Linked DNA regions of Styela clava. The protein of the gene in region 2 binds, or shares a complex with, the protein of the main gene of each other region. Links are inferred from orthologs where the notes say so. Each region holds a gene or a part of one and is shown on either strand. Other genes may lie near its edges. The genes, in order: vacuolar protein sorting-associated protein 72 homolog, transformation/transcription domain-associated protein-like and mortality factor 4-like protein 1.

Region 1 (7,682 bases), on a different chromosome or scaffold from region 2:
CTTTATCAAGTTGTTCGGCTCTCATGGCTAGAATTCGTTAGGTGCGCACAACCATCTGTAATTGACATTAGATGATGAACTTCCCTTTTTCCTTATGGTATTATGAAATCAAACATTGTTATTAATAAATTCCTACCCAAAATACTGGAAGATCCTTGATGCCATTTTCACAATTCAAATTATTTTTCAATTCAACCTTGAAGATATGCCGCTCATCAGTATTGTAAATCTTCCTGTGCATTGATGAAACCTCCACCATTGGAGACCTGTAATACTGTTTCGAGTTACGAGGTGTCAGAGAGACTGGTCTAGTTTGACGAGTGGCCATTTTCCAATCTGGCAAGAAATACAAATAAAATTCAGGTATAATAAACACATTTCATGTACATACTGTTTTTTTTGGTACTTGGGAATGTGTTATAAATATGTGTTGCACTGAATGAAGTCACCGACTAATGAGTACAGCGGGATGGGTGAGGACAGAAAATGGTCACTGAACAATCATTAATTCATTACAGATGCTCAAATAAATACTAAGATTCTGTAGAAAGTGGTAGGATGGATGCCTATGATTTTATATGTTCCGGTACCGGTATACCCGGTACCTAATAAGAAATGGTGATCCCACTTTGGCCCAAAACCGGTAATTAGGGCCACGAAAGCATATTTTGACGGTGGTTTTGCTTAGGATATACGGTATGCTACCTTCAGTGAATATAGCAAGACTTAGCAACTAGCCTAGATTGAAAGGGTGCCGAATTCGATAAACCATATATTTACGGATAAACCCATTATACTTTTGGTTGGAGGCCAACGACTTTGCTTTGAGCAACCTTGTAAATAAAACTGTAAAATGATACCGTACATCAAGTCTCACTGTTCGCCTGTATAATTGCGAATGTTTACATGTCCCGAGTTATACACTTTCAGAGTATATTTGTTCATCATTTGGGGTTTAATCATCGCTAGTTTAACTCAGGGTGCTCCAAACCCAGGCCCGTTATTACCCAGCTTCATGTGGCCCGCGTCGCATTCGCAGAGTAATCAAAAAATTGCATTTGGGGTTGATGAGTTTAGTGTGTTTTTTGGTGGTTTTTGCATGTTATAGCTTGATAAATGACCAATACTGATGAGTGTCTGTACAATAAAAGGGTTTTGTATTGCCCCGTTTATCTAATCTTGGCACTATTGTGGCCCGCGAACGATGAAAAAATAATTTTATTGTCCCGGAGCCGACAACCTTGGACCACCCTAGTTTAACTTATGGGTGTGACGTGGCATAAAGAATGCGTATATTTTTAAACATAACTTGACGAGTCCGGCAAAGTGAGCCCCTTGAAAACCAATGAAAAGTGCTCGGTCAGGTCATGGATGAGCAGGTAAGCAACGTGTTTCTGTGATTCGCATTTATAAAATTCGAAATGTAATTGCACATGGGTTTAAGTTATTACTGATGAATATCATAATTATTTATTTGTTTTATTTAATATTTGAATGTTGTTATGAAAACGATTAACGGCGCGGAATTTCCTTAGTTGTAAGTGGCGCATTCATCTGATTTGGGAAATTGAAGGACGCGTCTTTACTTTTTACCTTGTGTACACGAATCCCGCGTTCGTTGATAGTGACTCGCTAAAAGTTTTACAACAGAAAGCGAAGGTACCGGTACCGCATTTGTTGAATTGAGATTAATTCTATAATAGCGATTTGAATATATTATATTGAGAAACCGTGACATATCGTCTCCTTACTTTACTGTCTAAATAGACTACAACTAGCATTGTTGAATTGAGCTACCGTACCGTACATTTTATATTTATGTAATATTCGAAAACTGTGGCATACAGGCATACGGTACCGACACCCTACTATTGCTTTTTTATCGGCATATAGTACCTGTAACATTGTATCAGTGGGTAGCCGAACTTCAGCGCTGTTCTGTAATTAACCTTCTGTATGACCATCTTAGTAGGCTATTTTATGCTTGTTTTACTGTTTTAGAAGAGTGGCCATAACTGTCAAAGTCTTGTTGGGTTCTGGTTTAGTTTTCACAATCACAAAAATGGAACTAACTGCTGACGGATATGATAAAGATCATTGTGCAGAAATAATGAAGAAGCTTAACGAAATGAGAAAAAATAAAGAATATTGTGACATTGCAATAAAGGTTGGTAATGAAGAAATCTTAGCACACAGAAATATTTTGTCCACAGGGTCAGACTATTTCAGAGCAATGCTGTTTCATGAAAATGTTGAAAGTCGATCTGGCGTCATTCAAATGAAACAAACTGAATTTTCAAGCGTTAGGATTTGCATTGATTTCATTTACACTGGACATGTTAGCATTCCTGACTCTAAAAATTGCAAACAACTAATGCATACTGCTCATATTATGCAGCTACAAAAAGTTTGCGAGAATGTTGCGACATATCTTCGAAAGAAAATAAATATAGAGTCGTTTTATTCAGCAAAGATAATTGCAGATATGTTCAATTGTACAAAATTACTTGAATGTTGTGAAAAGTTTGCTTTAAAAAATTTTCAACATTTAGCTATGAAGGATGATTTTAAACATTTAGAGAAGGAATTTGTTTCTTTGTTGATTGGATCACGGAATACAAAAGCTTCCGAAGACATAAAATGCAAGGCTCTGATTATTTGGACAAATTTTGAGAGAGGAACTCGAACTTCTACTTTTGAAGCACTTTTTGAAAAATTGAATTTGACTAAAATTGCTTCGAAATATCGGTCATATCTTATTCAAAAAGAGCCTTCAGTTTTCAACTCAGATTTATGTACGAGTGCTCTAACTCAAGCCAATGATTTAACAAATGTAGAGCCAGAGGATGTTGACATAGCCACCTCAAAATTTGTGACTAATGAAAATGTAATTGCAGTGTTTAGTAAAACAACATGTTCCATCCATGTTTTCAATCCATTTCTGAAAACCTGGACAGAAATGCAGAAGATCGATAAGGAATTTGTTGCTAAATACTTCACTGCAGCAGTGCTTAATGACATTATATATGTTTTTGGAAATTACGGGAACAATTATAAGTTGGATTACATCGACATCAATGCTACATGGGTTCGACTGGACGATCGAAAATCAGCTAAGAAACGTGCGATCGGTGTTGCCTTTGGCAACTATATTTACGCATTTGCTGATCATGGTTGGTATAGTAATGCTGTTGAGAAATATGACCCATATGATGGAACTTGGTCTGATGTCACGCATAAGCCAGTGGAAGGATTTGGATCATCTATTGTTTCTCTTGAAAGTTTCATCTACTGCATAGGAGGGGTGAACAATACTGGACATATGTCGAATAACTTGAGATTTAATCCATTAGATTTAACATGGAGAGAACTTCCGTCAATGCCAACTGCACGAAAATTTTCTTCTGCAGCCGGACTCGAGGAAAAAATTTATGTAATGGGTGGGACTCAAAGCTTCCATTTGAATATTGTAGAGTGTTTCGATATAGTTGCAGAAACGTGGACCACTGTTGCTAGTTTAAACAATGCAAGGGCAAAGTTTACTTCATGTGTTGTGGGAGATAAGCTATTTGTTGTTGGAGGGGAGCTTTCTAACAATACAATTGAAGAACTGGATCCTGAGAGTAATAACTGGAATGTTGTAGATAAAATGAGTGGAAAATTCATTCAAGCCAATGCTTCCGTTCCACTGTATATTCTTCTCCCTTAGCAAAGGTTGAATTTGTTGATCTACTTCCCTACCTAGAAAAGTTTTCTGTCAACACACAACTGTTGTCTTTTAGATCTCATTTATTTGCTATCAGGTCGCCTTCCAGCTGGAAGACAAAAAACTGTGCTCGCAGTCTCACAAATCAGTTTTAGCTTCTGAACTCGGTTTGATTGCATTGTTTCAATTGTATTGACACACAAGTTCAGCAATTTTATGCGATTATTGTATTACTTATAAGTGTATAAAATTTGTATTGGGAATTAATATTCATCGATATTGATGTAATGGATCATTTGAAACCAGCACTGTGAAGTAGAAGCTTGTTATGTTTGTACTGGTATTGTAGGGAATTAAGAGAGACACCTTTTTAACGCAAAATGAAAGCGATAGAAATATTGGGAAACCGGCAGTTATGCAGAGGCGAGAGCCGTTGAAGCACGCACCCCGGCGCTTACTGACTTTGGCCGATATATATCGTTGGTTTACTGCCGATCGGAATTAATTTATATAATTTATATCGGCCCGATATATCAGTAGACCGATATATTGGTCGAGCTCTCATTATTAACATGAAAATATAATTTATATCATTATTATTTTATAACATATTATTATGAACACTGTATTCTTAGACTTGTGAATAATAGAATTTAAATTTTGTCTAAACCAAAATTACCATCAATGGCATTAGTTCATTTCCCACTGTGTATATCATTTCCACCAACTGCTTAATTCTATTTTTGTAAAATTTTTATTTCTACCATCTTAAATCCCTCATTTTATTCGCTGGTATATTCTTTCCTGAGCTGAATGACCATAATAACATGATTTGCGTTTTGAAAGCTGTTACTTTATTCCTTTTTGACAGTGTGCTTTTCTGAAAAATATTGTTGATGATGTGTATGTGGCTACTTTTTCTTTATATTGGCGTATTATACTTTTGAATGTTCAATTCAATTTTTTATTTATGTTAAAATCTTATTTGTAGGTATTTTATAAATACCGTTTTTGCCCCTTACACAGGGGAGGCCAGGATTATAGCGAATGTACCACTGATAATTCAAATAAAAGTACAAAAAAACAAAAAATTTGGGCAAAAATCTTACCGCCCAGAATTACTTCCTCATGTTATTAATCTTGGGTAACATTACTGCTCATTTGGTGCAAACTGTAACATATCGTATGTATGCTAACCACTGAGATATTGTGTTCTACAATTACATTACCACTGTTCCATGAGTTGGCATCTTTTTCATAGAGAAATAAAACACTTTCATATTATTTCCACTGTAGATATAACATATATTCCTGCATTTTTTTGTATTTTCAGACTCAAAATCGAATTTATAAATTTAGTGAAATTTTTTCTGCTATAAATCATCATGGCTGCTGCAAGAGAGCCACGTTGTACTGCAGGAAATCGGATGTCAAAGGTCATGGAAGAGGAACTAGACGAGGATGACTTTTATAAGACTACGTACGGAGGTTTTGAAGAGGAAAAAGAAGATAATGATTTTGAGTCGGACCAAGAAGATTCCGCAGACGAAGTCGACTCAGATTTCGATATCTCGGAAAACGATGAAATTGTCAGCGATCAAGATGAAGAAACTATAAAACAATCTGAGAAAAAACGAAAAAGAGGAGCGAACACAAAAGCTTATAAAGATCCCTCAATTAAAAAAGCAAAAAAAGATGAAAAAGAAATTAGTAAAAGTGATGATAACAAGGAAGAAAAAGTTCCGAAAGAGGCGAAAAAAACTGAACCAACTGCCGTAAACAATGACGGGCCAAGTCGTAAATCATCTCGTCGCGCCACGGCAGCAAATTCCTATTTAATAAGCATGAAAGTAAAAGAACGTAAAATCGCAGACCAAAAGAAAAAAGAAACTGTGAAAAAACCAATGGCTGGAGTGAGACGTTTGACCCAGGAAGAATTAATGCAAGAGGCGGAAAGAACGGAACGTAAAAACTTGAAATCGCTGCACAACTATCAACGTCTCGAAGCAAATCGAAAAAAATCTAGCACAAAAAAGCGAACATTTGCAGAACCAACAATCAAATACTTATCGACAACAATGCCATCAGTGGACCCGGATGAGCCATCAAAAATTTCGAGAGATTTTATAATTTTCTCTGAACCTGAAGTTTTTAAAAATGAATTCCACTGGAAAAAACAGCCTCGAATCAATAAACCTATATGTCCAGTTACAAATAAGCCTGCCAGATATATAGACCCACTTACTAATATTCCTTATTATGACATGGATGCTTTTAAACTTATTCGTGAAGCACATACTTTATCACTGGCAAAACGTGATAAGGTAAAATGATTCTATAAATTTCTGGTTACACCTGATGGTTACATCTGGCAGCCTCATTATCTGTGGCCCGTGTCACATTTGCTGGAGATTATTAATCAAAAATCGCATTTGTCTAGTCATAAAAATAACCAGAAAAATCTTTCGACATATTGTTGCATCACTAATGTCACTGAATTGACTAAGAGTTATGACGATTTGCACATTTTAGAAAGTTTTTTGATGGTCTTTGCATGTTTTAGCTTGATAAATGACAAATAATGATCGATGTGTTTGCACAATAAAAGTGTTTGTTTTTTATTGCACTGTTTGCATATTCTTGGCACTATTGTGGCCCCTGAACAATGCAAAATTAATATTGTTGTTCCCAAAGCGGACAACTTTGGACCACCCTGGCTTAGACTGATAGCTTCCTGATGCATAAGCCAACTTTTCCGATTCAAAAAGCATTTCCAGGAACATTCTTCTGTGGCAAGGTTACTAATTTACCGTAGTAAAATGCTCAGATGTTATGACCTTGCTGCCCATCAAAAAATAATTAACACTGTATAATGGTTTGGATTATTCACATTAAAAGCAACATGCGACTTAATCATGTAAATTTTTTTGATGAGTCATTTTAAAATCTATACGCTGTCATGTTCACCTGAAGTTGAACTCTTTCAAATTTTGTAAAATTGAGTATACACTGCCTTAATTTTTATTCTACATTTTTCCAAGCCTAAGCTATAGTGCAGTTCTGTTTATTTGTGAAAAAATTTCCAATCGCCTGAGATCTTGATTATCTTTATGTTTGTACCCTGGTCTGTTTTGTCATTTAGGGTACGGTAGGATTTACATATTTATCCCAAGGGAGAGGAAAGCTGCTAAGACGACTTAATCACATAAACCACAGTTTGTCGTCCGGTTACATATCCATGTCGGGTATGGGATTAATTAACCAGTTATTTGTTTCAGATGCATGGACTTGATGCTGAAGGAAGCCTTAACCGACTAGCAGTTATGTGAACCAGCCTATGGCGGCGAGGAGTCTACCAATCCTCTCACACATAATTATCTCCAATGGGATTCGAACCTGCGAACACACAAAAGGTAATCGGAGGTGCAGTGGCGAGCATATTCCTATCGCATAGCACGATGCGCCACACTGCCGAGCCCTCACTTAAATTTTCTAATATGTGACTGTTAAACCTATTAAAATTATTCGGAGTGTATCTCTTTGTTTGTGCTGCAAAATTTTTCCAATTTTTCATGTATAAGATTTTGGTAATGTTTACTAGGGTTCCATTACATTTGAACCCACGGACATTTGAACCCATGACAATTGCACCTGCATACTATTGCACATATGGAAATTTTTTTGTTTTACCGATAATTGAACCCATACTCACCCTAACCCATGGGTTTTAGCAACCGCATATAGATTGAACCCGCGGATATACGCATGGGTTCAAATGTCCGGTCACCGTTTACTAGATATCAGTAATATCTGGTCTGTTACTCTGAAAGAAAAGTTTTTCTTCATTATTTCCATTTATATCAATTATTTTCTTTTCTAGATTGAATATGCCACCAAAGTTAAGGTTACCGCCTCTGCCATCCATTGCAAGCATTCTTAAAATTTATAATGTCCGAGCAAAGAAACAGTTGGCGCA
Region 2 (7,623 bases):
TACACGACCTCATCCAGGATGTAATAAATTGGGCAATGCTGAAAAGATTCTGATCATATCAAAAATGGAAGCTTTTTACAGATTAATTGATATCAGTGGCTTCTAGTACATAGCCTTGTTTAAGAGTGAAAGGTGTAATGAAAGCAATGTATTAAAAAATGATATTCAGCAATCTTCTTGTAGGATCTGAGATTTATGGTGAAAAACATGTATTCAAAAGAAGGCACAGAAATTCCTATCACATATTTACGCCCAATTAAAAGTGCCAATGCTTTTCATGTATATCCCTCAACTTTATATTCAATACTTTACCATATTTCTTGGTAGTTCTGAATAGATTCTCTTCACAAGAGCAAGAAAATGTTGGATCTGAAACAATATAATAAAAATTAACAAACAATTTATATCCATGCCTAATCCAAAGTTCCAAACAAGCAAACACAATATCTATATAACAAATGCACAAACTTAAGACAGTCAAGACTACTTTTCATCCCACAGTCAGCTTAGAATTAGAAGTGGATATATTATAGCAGGCATGTTGATTTAATACACTTGATTATGTTATTATTGCAATTAGAGACATCAGGTTCAAATTCCATGTCTATCATTCCAGCTTGGGTTGTCAGAACATTGGGTAGGTTGTGCAGAAACAAAAAATTAGACCCCTTTCGCAAAGTTCATCCATTAGCGATTACTTGAGTAGAGTCTTGTTGAGTGTTTGAATGCAACTTGTACAAAATAACCTCAAAAACTTTGGCCAGTATTCCCAAAATCACACATATCTTGAAAATGGACGAGACTAACAAAAGAGTATTAGGATTAGTAAAATGAAAATTAGCGAAATATCAAAATACAGCTAAAACTTTTACCTCTGGTGCCATTTGTGGTCTGAATTGTTTATGGAGCTCAATCAATATTTTTAAACAAACTTGAACATTTTCTTCATTGTCAACCTGGATTGCAAAAGACAATTTTTAATATTTAAATTCTCAATATGGCTGAAAATTGAATATCAGTGGCTGATTATACATGACCTTGTTCCAAGCAAAATATGTGAATAAGTATCGTATAAAAAACAATTATTTTAATGTACGACATCTTTTCCATCTTTTTTTAAGCAAACACACAAAGCATTACAATGGTTACTTCGTAGTGTGTGTATCAGGTTAGGGTTAGGCCATAATTTTTTTCCGATTTTCCTTATTTTAGTTTTAGTACGAGTTCAGGACCTGTCTGTGTTAGCCAAGTGAGTCTTTCCCTGCCAATATGTTCAGTCCCTTTACGTTACCGTACCGTCCATATTGGTACATAACACTTCAAATATAATTTTTGATTTTTAGGCAAGTTAAGTCAATTTACTTGAGTTAAGTATGAATTACTTGTACATTACCTCAAGTAGTTGGAAGCATAAATTGAGAATCATTTTAACATGAGGTTTCAAATAATCATTTGTTGGAATCCGATGTAGAATGTCAAGAACAAGTTTGCGAAGTTGCTGTAAAAAAAGAACGTTAAATAAAATATCCATTGTAATAATGATAGCCCGATATAAAATAGGTTCGCAATTTTGATAATTATTAAATGTAGAAGTGGGCAAGATTGAAATCTCAGAGATAGATTTGAAAAGCAAGTTGTTTTAAGTAAAATATTTCGATAATCTCTTAGAAATATTTTGGTGCTGTTATATGTATACTAGGTGTCACATTTTTAACTAATTAGATCCAAAACTCAACTTTGTTGGCATCGGAAATTAAAAAAATAGTTAATTACAGCTCCCAGCTCCACCTGTGTTAAATTGGAGGCAACGTAAAACAGTAAAGATTTTCAGGTTATTGTAGAAATAAAAGAGATATTAAAGACTGTTGTTCAGAACTGTAATAAGTGTGAAAATCTAACCTTTGACCTCATATAAATACAAGGTCAATTTCTATTTCCAAATGAATAATTCACCATTATAGTTTTCTAACCTGGCCATGATTTTCCAGTACAAAGCTTGGTTCTCCATCTTGCAATAATTTGACAAATCTTGGAACACAATGATTTAGAAACACTTGATACTGAGGAGAATGTGCAATGTCCTGAAGAATTAATTATTGATAATTAATAATAAATAATGAATACCGAATGAATAATGAAAAAGCATAAATATGGTGGTAATTTAAGTGGATTATTTCAGCAATTACAGTAAAACAGAAAGCATTTATCTGATTTCATTTATATTTAAAAAGTTCAAAAAGGAATGAACAAAAATCTGAATTTCATATTAATATCATTTAAGTAAGTATAAGAGCAGAGTAAAAAAACATCCAAACTTCGATCAAATAACTGCATAGCAATAAAAAATTGTACAAACCTCGAAATGTTCGCTCACTTCTTGAGCAACTTTCAACTTATTTTCATCCTCTGTTAGAAATGAAAACAGCATATAAAACACAAAATATAAAAATACAGAAAACTAAAAATTCAAAACAATATTCATAAAAACAGTAATAGGACCATCTCCAATTCTTATGGGATTAAGATTTACATATAAGACGGCTTAATCACATGGCAAACCACGGAATCTCATCCTGCTGCCAGTCCACGTTGGGTATGGGATTAGATAGCCAGTGGATAGACTTGACGGCAGAGGACCCCTCACCGCCCAGCGATTATTAAAACTACTTTACGGCAGCGAGGTGTCCAGAAATCTTCTCGAATATAATTAACCCCCACTGGATACGACCTGCAAACTCACGGACAGATGGAGGGTCTTAGCATGATGCGCAACACCGCCGAATTCTTGAATTACAGTCTGAAGTAGAAACATTCTTGTAGCAGAAAATGCGCTGATAAAAATCAAAATTTTACTTACGAGCCAGTGGATCATTGAGCAGAGACACATATTCCTTGTATTTGTTTATTTCTTGGTTGATGTCAGATGACACTGAGTGAAGCATGGTTCATGCAACCATATACATACAATGATACAACAGTGACAGACCCACTGTCTTATGCCGTAATTGTATATTTAGTCAATATCTGTATTAAGTGAAAATCAGTGATTTGGTAAATCGGAAAAAAACACTACCTTATAAAACCAATATGTAGGTAGGTATAGGGAGTAACTTAAGGAGCTGGGAAAATCGAAAATAGCTTTTCTCAGCTGTCTCTACTTACAGACTTAATAAAACTCTTACTGTCTTAGTAGAATATAGGATAGGATAGGATTTACATATTTATCCCGGGGGAGTAGAAAGCCGATAAGATGGCTTATCCATATGGCGAACCACGGCCTCTCGTCCGGTTACCATTCCAAGTCGGGTATGGGATTAGTTTTACTGTATTGTTTGTTTTCGGAAGCATGGACTTGGTGGTGGAGGAAGCCGTAACTGACCAGCGGTTACGTGAACCACCCAACGACGGCGAGGAGTCCAGCAATCCTCTCGCACATAACCATCCCTGCATGGGATTTGAACCTGCGAACCCACGCAGAGTAGTTAGAGGTGCGGTGGCGAGCGTATTTCTACTGCTTAGCCCGTTGAGCCACACCGCCGCGCGGATTAGTCAGTTTTTCCTCATTTGTCAGATATTCCTCATTTTAGGCTTTTACATCTTACTTTCATGTGTGCACTGAATTAAAGTAACCCATCTATGTATTCACGAGCCTTTACTACGTTAGCGCAAACTTGAAAAAAAATCTGCACAACTCAGACACACCAACAATTCTATACTACGTGTCTTATTCCGGTTTATACTTACCGGCACCAGGCGCCTTCTCGTCTATTTATTCAAAAAATCGAGAAACAATATAATACTGTGCATATACTACCACATCTATTTGCGCAAATATGACAAAAAACTTGAAGACGTGCGTAAAAAATCTGAAACTGATTTGCTAGGGTTCTGAATTGAAGCAACCTCGCCGTTTTTTGCCTGTCTGCACAATATTTAGTATCGTACTAAGTTTTATTCACGACTTTTGCCACAAGAGGGCTTTTATGTGTAGGTTGAGAGTGTTAATATGTCGTTTTATCCGATTAGGATTGTCCTCATTGTTCTCGCCTTGCATTAATCGAAATAGGTATTAGCTTGAAGTCTGTTAGTATGATTTCATCTTGAGTTTATGAATATTACCTAACTAAAACTGCAAATATCTACTCGGACGACGACACTGCTGATTTTATCAAGTTGGACCCATTGAGGTGAATACACTTCAACGGTTGAACCTGATACAGCATGGACACATTCGACTTTATCATCGCTGGAAGAGACAAATAAGGAAAGAAACTAACATCAACTTATTCACTGATTAAAAGATTTTAAGCTATTTTTCTGTGCACCTTAAGTAGTAATGACAGAACAGTTCATGAAAATTATCCAACACATTTTAGATGCATTGTTGAAAATAATATCATTTTGGGGACCCTAGAGACCATTTGGAAGTGTAAATGTGCCTGCTGTAGGCACTAGATGGAACAAGAAAGCAAGCGATGCTCAAATATATGAACACAAAATCCAAAACAAAGTTCCAATCGTTACGAGTATTATTTATTCTCCGAGTTTTGCGTGGGTTTCGCATCAACTCGGAAACAGCCGTCACGCTTGGTGGATTAAATACCGTAAAAAGAAGAAAAATTCGAACAAAAACATCATAATAGCAGAACGATCCATAGTTCCATTTCAAGTCCGGTAATATTTATCGGGTTGAAAGTTAAATGGCTGCACTGCTGCGGTAAAAATATTATAAAATGTTTTTCTGTGTGATTAACATTAAAGCATGCATTTGGGTACAAACATTAATCTGTAAAATTTACAAATTTAATAACTCTTTCTTGACTCAGTGTTTTTGGCTTTGATATTTCTCAATATTGATTTCAAATAATATTCATTCTATTATGTGCTTGCTTTGTTTTTGTAGATGGGCGAGCATTTGCGCGTGTTCCAATCTCATTCTAGACAGCATTTTATTTGTATTGCATCCTTCTGTATTTTTCTCGTTCGAGCAGCCGAAATATATTATTGTAATATATATATATTTGACCAGAACATGCAAAATGCTTGCGACTAGTCGACAACTGCTGACCACCAACCATATTTCAAAATATTCGAAAATTCGTTTATCATAGACGACAATGAATGAACAGTATCGAATTTATATTTACGCATGCATTTTATGTTTCGCAATACACAATATGTGAAGAAAGCGGAATATTATACAAAAGCAATGAAAAATTAATGGCTTAGTTATACATTTGAAGATACGAAAAGCAACGTTTTATATTCATTTATGTAATAAACTTATTTGTAAATAAGATAACCCATAAGGTCCAGATTTACAGACTTCCAATCCATTTGACCAAAGATCTTCGAAGAATAGTATGATCAAAAGCGATTAGAAGATACCCTTATGGTTAAAACAAAATGGGTCTTCAAAAGTATCCAGAAATAATTAAAAAAGTAGGCTACAAGAAAGGTCAAAAGAAAGATTTATTTTTTTCAATTCATCGTATTGAAAGCTTGAAAACCGTCGTTTTCTCTAAACCGTTTCTTTTGGAAAAAGCTAGATAAAAATATCTGAATCTGAATCTGATAGTCTTAAACTATGATCAAGTTCGTTTGCGTCTTGGTTGGAAACAAAATGGGTGTTCAAAATATATTTAGAAAAGTGAAGGAACAGTAAAATAGAGTTTGTGGTTTTTAATCGAAGGATTGAATGATCGACCATAATAACTGTCAAACCGTCATTTTCGGTCACACCGTTTATTCAAACCGTTTATTTTAGAAACATCTGCCCCCAAATTTTGATTTAATCTCGTTTATTTTCAGTTAAAACGCTGAAATTTCCACATCTGGATTGTCTTTCGCGGCTTGTTCCTGAACCTGATCTTGGTTCGCATCGCTCTCGCTAACGCGAGGACTTCTTTTTGGACTCTCAGGTTTTCCATTTTCAATCTCCAAGTGATTTTCTTGGGTTTCTGGCGTTTCTTGATCTGGAATCTCTTGCTTTGGCGGTTCCTTTGGCGCCTGTCGTTTTTTAACCGGAGTTTGAGTTTCGTTTATTTCTGGTTGTTTCTTAACTTCGCCGTTTTCACGTCGTGGACTTGAATGACCTGACGTTGGATCGATTTTCTTAGACGCAAAGTATTCGGCGAGTTGCGATGGGATTTTTTGCAACAAATTGCGACCGAGTGTATCCATCGATTCCTGTATCAAAAATGTAAAATACGTAAATAATATATATAATCCAATGATTTGAAATAAGTTCTGATGAGAATACTGTATTACTTGAACTCTACAAATATTATAGAGCGGACGAGCGAGGATAAAGCTGTTCAAGATTAAAATTGAAAGATTAGATTTCTGCGAACATCAGCATAGAGTTTAAAAAATTGAGAAATTTTCATGTGCGGTTCAGTTAGCATGTTTCAAAAAATATCTCGCAAATAATATTCCTGCCAGTTGTAGAATTATTTTATATACATTGTTATCAGATAAATTCAGATAAAAAGTCTTTTTATAACTTGCGAATTTTCACCAGAAATACAACAATGAAAGATGTGTCATTTTCAGTACAAAGTTAATGTAAGACATATGCATACATTCCCAACTGGAATGTTTTATTTCTTATTATCAACGCATTTAAAAAGAGCGAAAATGAGGACAATAATGAAATGTTAGTTTGTGACTAGTTTTTGTATATATAATATCACGATGAATGTTTGTATACAGTTTACTTGATACTTATGACGAAAATCCTACTCACAAAATTAAACTTTCGGAATGAGACAATCTGAGTAATATCTCTTGCAGCGCACTCTCCTTCTTGAGTCTTGATATGCTTTGCTCCTTTGCTCATAAACTCCATATCACTGAAGTCTGCATTTCCAATCCCAACAATGACGATTGAAATTGGAAGTTTTGAAGCGCGGACAAGAGCCTTCTTCGTTTCATCCATATCTGTCACCACACCGTCAGTCAAGATAAGGAGAACTTGATACTCCTGTTAAAATTGGAATGGAAGAAAATAAAATATAGTTTTTTACAAAAAATTAACGCACGGGCCACGGCCCCTCTTCAATTGTCAATATAACGAAATAGTCTTGTTCACTTTGGTTACATTATTTTACGAGCCTTGTAATTATTGTACTGCAATCACTAAACCAACTGAAATCTAATGCGAAATGCACGAAAATCGCTCTGAATTGCGAAACATAAAATGCATGCGTTAATAGAAATTCAATACTGTTTATTCATTGGCTTTACTCTCTGTGATATACGAAATTTGAATGTTTTAAAATCTGGTTGGCGGTCAGTAGTCAGTCGAATAGTCCAAGCATTTGTGTATTCTGGTCAATTTTTTACAATATTATATATCGGCTGCTCTTACAAAAGCAATAAATAAACATTAAATATACTAATCCACCCATTCCTTTTTTCTCGAACTGTTCTGCGTTGCTGCTTAATACCTATCTAATTGAACAATTGTTTGAAAAATATCTTGTGTAAATCTTCATAACAACTTTGTGGCAGAACATGAATTTCCCATTTATTGTCGATAGAAAATTATACTTTATTTATTTTGAATTCGACTACTCTTCACTTACCAATCGTCCTTCGTGTTTTTCAGCCGCATCGGCC
Region 3 (7,314 bases), on a different chromosome or scaffold from region 2:
TCTACAATATGGTCGAAAGTCTAACACCAGAGATGAAACTTAAAACTTAGTTCTGAAAAATCAAATTAAAACTTAGGAAAACAAAAAAAATGAGATTCAAATAGAGCAATGTCATGCTATTAATAAACATTCCAATTATAAATCAAAATAAAAAATATATATATACTTTATTTTTTTTTATATGCTAAAATTACGGTAAGTTCACAGCATTGGTTTTGTGAATCAATAAAATACTGTACAAAGCCTAGCTAATCATGTGATTCACATTGTTGCTGCGTTAATGCCAAGTTTGTATTGGCTTTCCAATTTATAAGTTTATATGTCCATATTCTGATATTGCCAATTCGTATTTCCTCATTTATAAAAGGCAAAAACAGGGTTGTAAACATGAGTAGCAGGTAAACTTAAGCAGCTGAATGACTGCAGTACAAACTACTTATCACAGTTTTAGATATCAATCAGTGAAATAGTAAGCTATATCGTATAAATAAACAACAATAGCTAGATCGAAAATGAATACAGCAGACTAATTTGGATTATCGTAATTGGGTAAGAATGTGTATCAGTAACAATACTTTAAACTCATTTCTACCCTAACACCATGACAAATATGTTAATTTAGCACCCTTTTGTTGTGAATACACCAACAAATTTATACGAAAATAGCCTTTATGACAAGACAGCGACGATAAAAACGCGAACGTACCTATCGATCGGCACAGCAGAGCAGAAAGGACCATCCGTGCTGGTGAACTCATAGTTGCCATATTTGACAACGCTGTATGGAAATCCGAGTAAGCAAACTCAAAAAAGTTAATTGTGAATATTTGAGGGAAAAAAGTTTATTACTTTATTTTCCTAATTACAATGATTTTTTTTTAAATTTAGCATTGCATATTGTGTTGAATCGAATACGAACTAGGTAAGCAATAAACCAATAAAGTATCATTACGACAATCAATACAGGTTTCGGCAAATTGAAAAGGCAACACTTTATAGAACAGAACAAATCATATAATTGTATATTTATATATATATATATAATTTGAATCATTTATGCTTTTCTATCGTTTTAATGTCACTGTGATTTTCGAAATTGTCATGATATCTGGTAACTGTAATTAAAATAAACACCTATCACTATCCGCGAGGAGTCAGTAAAGAGTAGTAGAAGTTTCATATGTAGGAGGTGATGAGATGCGATAGCAATTTGAACTTGTGGGCAATGTGTTTTGAAATTATGAAATTGTTTTAATTGGGTGCAAATTATACTAATTCGACAATAAAATTAATATACGAAAATTCCGTTTGGCATTGGAATTTATTTGGCAAAAAAAAAAAAAAAGATAGCAATTTGCAGAGGGACAGATATATGAAAATTCGTTTCCATCAACCGAAAAAACAAAATTAAGGTCTTTTAAATTAAACTGTATTACAAATCTATAGTTCTCAACAATACATTGCATGGTTTTGCATTGCACAAGTATTTGTGAATATTGTAAAGTGTAAACAACATAGATTCTGATATTGAAACTCAACTTCATTATGAGATTCCTAATTTACAATTTGTTAACTTACAGATTTAGGGTCTCATGTAGTTTCGTACCTAACATACTTCTAGTGGGCGTAGCATAACAATTTTTTCACATGTCAATCCTAACCCCCACCTGACTACCGGTACGCCATCCGAAAATTACGTCACAGTGACGTGATAGAGCCCTTCAAACTATACGAACTTCCATCCAAGACGCGCAGATGAGCACCCGAAATCGAAGAGCTATTTTTTTCGTTGCAGAGATCGATGACGTTAGTCAGTTCTTTATTGTCGTCGCCGATGCTATTTCGGGCGATGGTATGTATATTTGGCAAGCTCTATGACATGATTGTGATGTCGTAGTGACGTAATTTTTGGATGGCGTAGTCAGATGGGGGTTAGGATTATTAACATATCAAGAAATTGTTATGCTACGCCCACTCACCACTAGAAGTACGTTAGGTACGAAACTACACGAGCCCCCAGATTTAACTGTAATTTATTGGCTGCCCGGTTTCTTCATATGCCTTTATAGCAGCGTTTCCCAACTCTTTTTTGGTCGCGGCCTATTTTTTTACCGGCGAAAACCTTTGCGGACTTAATGTGCGTTTATTGCAAGCGTACTCTGTGTGAAAAGCAATAAAACCAAACACAACAGAACTTTAACGAATTTCAAAATCGGAAATTCGCCGCAATTACGCGTTCGTTAAAAGAGACGAATTTTTTTAGTGTATAAAATGGCCTTTTCTGTCGCACAATATTCAATCCAATGACGACGACGAGAATTTAAAATGTCCTTTTATTTTAATTTAATTGTGTTCATGGTAACTCGCGGTTGTTTCGATGAAAGCATTACTGCTTTAAAATGGCAAGGCAATCTGGGACTATGATGAGGTGAGAATATATTGCCCGATTATATTTAGTTTGGATTAGAGGTAAGATCGGGCTAAAAAATTCCAGCCCGACCCGACTCCGGCCCGTGGGTATTAAACCCGACAGACCCGAGCCTGACTAATTAACTGGATTTGCAGGCCCGACCTGACCCGGGCCCGTGGGTATTAAAACCCGACCCGAGCCCGACTAATTAACTGGATTTGCAGGCCCGACCCGGGTCCGTGGGTATTAAAACCTGACCCGAGCCCGACAGGCATCCTGAGGAAAAATTCAAAAAATCTTGAGGGAAAATCCAAGGAATTCTGAGGGAAAATGCCCTGGTACGTATACTACCGCAGCACCCGAAATTTTGCGATTCGTAGTGTCTAAAAAAGCATTTTTAATCGCGGACCATCATAAAACAAAACTTAATTAAGGTGTTCTTCGTTTTATTTTTAGTATTTCCGCTTTTCAATTTAAAAAATTTGGGTTGCCACCCTTGACACTTAGCATCAGAAAAAAAATATATTCCTCGTTGTTCGAACTCGCGAAACACCATTTAGGTATCTATCGAATCGCGTGCAGACTCGTGTTTTCGTCGGAAATCTGTAAATGAATTGGGAAATACGATCGTTTGATTAAGCGCGCGCAAGTGACCCGTCGCATCACTTGTTACTAAATTTTCGAATAGTAAATTTATATTCTAATAGTTGAATTTTCGAATATATGAGCAGCCCTACTTAGTAACCAGTAATTAGTGACTCGATTAATGTTATGTGAATAAACTTGCTTATTATGTTTTATGTAAATTCTAACGTAAATCGTAACTTGGCTGATAGTTAGGTTTCGCAAAAAGGTTTGCGACCCGCAGTAAATTTCTGGCTCGTTGCGGACTCATTCAAACGCTCCGCGGACTCATTTGAGACCGCGGACTCGGGTTGGGAAACACTGCTCTATAGAGATACCGAATTCACGATACATGAATCAATTTATGAGTCATAGTTGTGATAATGAAAAATAGGCAGTAGGCCTATTAAAGAATAGAAAATTCTACATGCATAAAAAAAACGAAATTTAATGATCACAATGATATTATGGTTATATAAACCGATAATCGTTGTTTGTGCTTATTTTTTATTTTATATATACTGATATTGGGACAAAATAATAATACAAAAAAGGGAGATGATAAAATATCATTTTTATCCCATATATACCGGTATGCACTAGGGCAGGGGTGGGCAACCACTGGCACGCGAGCCCATTAGAATCCTCGAAAACGAGATCATTTCCTTCAGAAAAAAAGTTTGGAGACTCTGAATTATCTGATGAAACTAGTTGTTAATTTATTCATTATCGTATGTTAACAATTCGTTATTTATTTAAACTTTTTTTTTCTCTTTCATGACATATGGCTACAAAAAATGTATTATGTGTAACAAATGAGTAAGCTCTCGAGAAGAGCCCAGCATTAATTTGGCTGCATTCTTACGTAATATAGTTCGTCTGTGCCACCCTTTTCCTCATTTCCGCTTAATTTATGAAGTTGTACAGCTCATGTTGGTGAGAGTTACCTGTTAACTTACTGTTATAAATTGATCTCAAAAGAAATATAAATGATTAGGGAAGGGAATACAAGAGAGAAGTGCAGAAAACAAACTATTGCGTGATTTGGCCATTCCCAAAATATTTTCGTGTCCTAAAAACTCTGCAACTGCATTACTCTCCATGTTTTTTTTATCTACATATATGCTTGTGAATCTCGGTTCTTAGTTATTATGAACTTTATTGAGTCTCGTAACAGGAGTAGCTTGAAAGATGAAACGAGTAGTTCGTGTATTTCTTTGAATTCAGGTGGGGCTTAGGAAGGACAAGCAAAAATGGTTGTGCCACGCCAACTAGAAGTACTTACGTTGTATTGTGAACATGGCCTATAGCAGGTGCCCAAGTCAGCACTGCAACTGCATGAATCGAATGATAATTGAAAAAACATTATAACAGAAATTCGATATATGCACAAAACCTTATCTGTGACAATTCATGATGACATTGGTTCTTATTAGTTCATCAGTAGTGGGCCACTTGATATTTTGTAATTGTTATATTTGCTTTATTTTATTACATATGCTGTATCCTATATCAACTTTCACCTCACTCGGTGACATGGATATTATTACTGAAACAATAAAATTTTTCATGGAACTGGATAACAATATGGGCAAATATATATTTCAACATAATGGGAACGAAATTTTGTTATATGGACATAAGCAACCAGTGTAATAGGATATTTAGAAGAAATGGCACCAAAATCTGACAGCTCCAAGCTCAAATTCAGTGATGGTAATAAATTATTACTAAATCTTAACATATTTCTTGCGATGAATGATAAATAAATTATGTTAGTTTAACTCAAACTCTAATTTTTGAGTTCTTCTATGCTAATTATTATGCGGTTCGAAAATGGTCATACCCAATGGAATGTTCAAAATTATTTGGAAGTTCACCAAGAGTTTAGAAATTTTGCGGGTCTCTTATGTTAAACTGAACTTGATAGAAATTTGCTTTAAGAGTTGCCTTAGATTCCAATTAACATGATACTTCAATCGGACAGAATTCATTTTTATAAGGAAATATTTGGTCTAGGTCGGAGAAAATTTCATAAACATGAAAAAAAACCTTAGTTATAATTTTCATAAACAAATAGATACATTTGGTATTCTCAATACTGCAGTCTGCAATAGTTAATTTTTACTCTTTCCGCTTTATACAATTCATTGACATGATATATATATATATATATATATCATTGCTTAAAAATTGTCTCACTTTTAAAGGTGAATATGTCCAATAAGCTGATTATTAATAAATAATTTATCTTAGTTTGATGTCATTTTCCAACAGGTGAACGAGTTCTCTGCTTTCATGGGCCACTTCTTTATGAAGCTAAATGTGTAAAAGCTGAAGTGAGAGACCATAAATGTGCTTATCTTATTCACTACAATGGTTGGAACAAATCGTGGGATGAATGGGTACAAGAGAATCGGGTTTTGAAATATAATGACTCTAATTTACAGAAACAAAAGGATCTTCTGAAACAACATGGGTAAGTCTGATGTGTTTATCATTATCACTGTTCATTATCTCTTCCATCCTCAAATTGGATATTACTGGTGTTATTCATTATTTTATCAATAGTAAAATGCCATTCTAGTTGTAGCCAACTAAGCAACCAATCACCCACTTATTCTGCTTCATTAAATGTGGAGTGGAGTCTAAACTGCCTGATTTTTTCTTTTAATATGTGTTAAAACAGGTCGAAAAAAACTCAATATTCATCATATTACATTGTCACCATCCAATATGATTCCCATTGCTATCGTATATTCTATGAATTTATCACCAGTAGCATCCAATCCATTCAAATCCATTTTTTTTTTCATTTGTTTGTAGAAAAGACAAATTGCGAAGAGGCAAGCACCCTAAACCAAAAACAGAAAAGGAAAGTATTGAAAAGAAAAAAGGTAAATTTCACATTTCGTTGAAATAAGCAGTTAGTATTTTTAATTATAGTAATTAATAACTATCAAGCTTGTCCAGGGACCTAAAGTTAAACTGAAAACTTGGAAAATGTGTAAAGATTGCTCTCATGAACATTTCTCAATGGACTATTCTTTGGGTCACATCTCACATGAATCAAAATGTATGATTCTCAATTGTAATATTCGTAGATTATGTAATTGGGCCATAACAATAAAATTTTATTTCTACAGTTACTACAGAGCCAAATACTTCAGCTGAACCTAAAAAGAAGAAAAACAAAGTCGATCCCACTGTTGAAACGGTGGGTTTTCAACTTGAATGTTTAAAGATACTAGGATTAGACAATGGGGGAAGATGTGGAATTTGCTCGTTAATTGCTATAGATACCTTTAATAACAAGTTGAAAAAGAAATTACACTAATGGTATATCTGATGGATATTTCTACTAATTCTGGGTAAAAGTAACTCGAGAAATAATTTTTCTGATTCTTGGCAATTTATATATTATCATGTTACATAAACCCTTATGGCTACATTATTTGACTTTTCTGCTCTGGGTAATTTTGCACAATAATATTTATTCTTACTTAACAGGAGGACTCGTTCTTTGCTAAAGTTGAAGTGAAGATTGAAATGCCTGATGAATTAAAGCCAATGCTTGTGGATGACTGGGATTTGATAACAAGACAAAAGCAGGTAGATCAATCAGAATCTTCAATATTTATTATCAATTTATATCGCAATCAATTATTCAAATTTATTTTATGTCTACTATTTCATATTAGTTAGCTATATATGGAATTAATCATTACATCCTGTGTAAGAACCAATTTTTTGAGGCTCAATCCATTTATTTATATTGTCATCATTCATATATAACCCTGTTTGAGCTATGTTTTATTAACACAGTATATAACTCCTGTTGGCTAATTCGATATCCAATTTGGCAATCCTCATCAAATTATTAATATGGTGTGGCAAAAAAATTCAATCATTATTGGTATTTTTTACTGATTAATTGATTTTATATCTTGCTTTTTTCTCTTCCGATCGTGTCTCAGTGATCGTGTGTGCGTGCGTGCCTTAATTAGTTTTAATTCTTTTGGGTGAGCGAACAAGTATTACTTCTTTAAACCTTTTATCAATACCTTTCCATCTAAAATCTGTACGCTTAAAATTTTACTCGAGTTTTTGTTTTCTCTCACGATTCAATAATCAGTTTTATTTATTTATTATGCAAATTTCATTTTTTTTTCTATTGTAAATCATAATTTAAAAATATCTCGTGTGTTTTTCTATCACCTTTTTACCAGTAAAAGTAATGCTTTATTTGATTATTTTGTTTCGATGTATTTCAGTTGTAT

Evidence for each region.
Region 1: transformation/transcription domain-associated protein-like (region 2) and vacuolar protein sorting-associated protein 72 homolog share a complex: the UniProt entries of both Drosophila melanogaster proteins name them as parts of the tip60 chromatin-remodeling complex. The link is inferred for Styela clava from reciprocal best matches to the Drosophila melanogaster genes Nipped-A and YL-1.
Region 3: transformation/transcription domain-associated protein-like (region 2) and mortality factor 4-like protein 1 share a complex: the UniProt entries of both Drosophila melanogaster proteins name them as parts of the tip60 chromatin-remodeling complex. The link is inferred for Styela clava from reciprocal best matches to the Drosophila melanogaster genes Nipped-A and MRG15.

Annotation. Positions count from the first base shown.
Region 1 is NC_135254.1:7,385,202-7,392,883, forward strand, and holds vacuolar protein sorting-associated protein 72 homolog, read left to right. Parts: upstream 1-5,040; 5' UTR 5,041-5,091; coding exon 5,092-6,039; 3' UTR 6,040-7,136; downstream 7,137-7,682. Other genes in the region: kelch-like protein 12, read left to right, coding at 1,372-1,379, 2,002-3,709; dimethyladenosine transferase 1, mitochondrial-like, read left to right, coding at 7,594-7,682. UniProt on the Drosophila melanogaster protein: Part of the Tip60 chromatin-remodeling complex which is involved in DNA repair. Upon induction of DNA double-strand breaks, this complex acetylates phosphorylated H2AV in nucleosomes and exchanges it with unmodified H2AV.
Region 2 is NC_135262.1:5,122,162-5,129,784, reverse strand, and holds the start of transformation/transcription domain-associated protein-like, read right to left. Parts: upstream 3,021-7,623; 5' UTR 2,943-3,020; coding exon 2,858-2,942; intron 2,407-2,857; coding exon 2,357-2,406; intron 2,082-2,356; coding exon 1,971-2,081; intron 1,499-1,970; coding exon 1,394-1,498; intron 957-1,393; coding exon 873-956; intron 370-872; coding exon 313-369; intron 1-312. Other genes in the region: copine-3-like, read right to left, coding at 5,812-6,189, 6,749-6,985, 7,590-7,623. UniProt on the Drosophila melanogaster protein: Part of the Tip60 chromatin-remodeling complex which is involved in DNA repair. Upon induction of DNA double-strand breaks, this complex acetylates phosphorylated H2AV in nucleosomes and exchanges it with unmodified H2AV.
Region 3 is NC_135257.1:13,338,300-13,345,613, forward strand, and holds the start of mortality factor 4-like protein 1, read left to right. Parts: upstream 1-4,298; 5' UTR 4,299-4,707; coding exon 4,708-4,750; intron 4,751-5,311; coding exon 5,312-5,513; intron 5,514-5,860; coding exon 5,861-5,931; intron 5,932-6,180; coding exon 6,181-6,251; intron 6,252-6,544; coding exon 6,545-6,646; intron 6,647-7,308; coding exon 7,309-7,314. UniProt on the Drosophila melanogaster protein: Part of the Tip60 chromatin-remodeling complex which is involved in DNA repair. Upon induction of DNA double-strand breaks, this complex acetylates phosphorylated H2AV in nucleosomes and exchanges it with unmodified H2AV.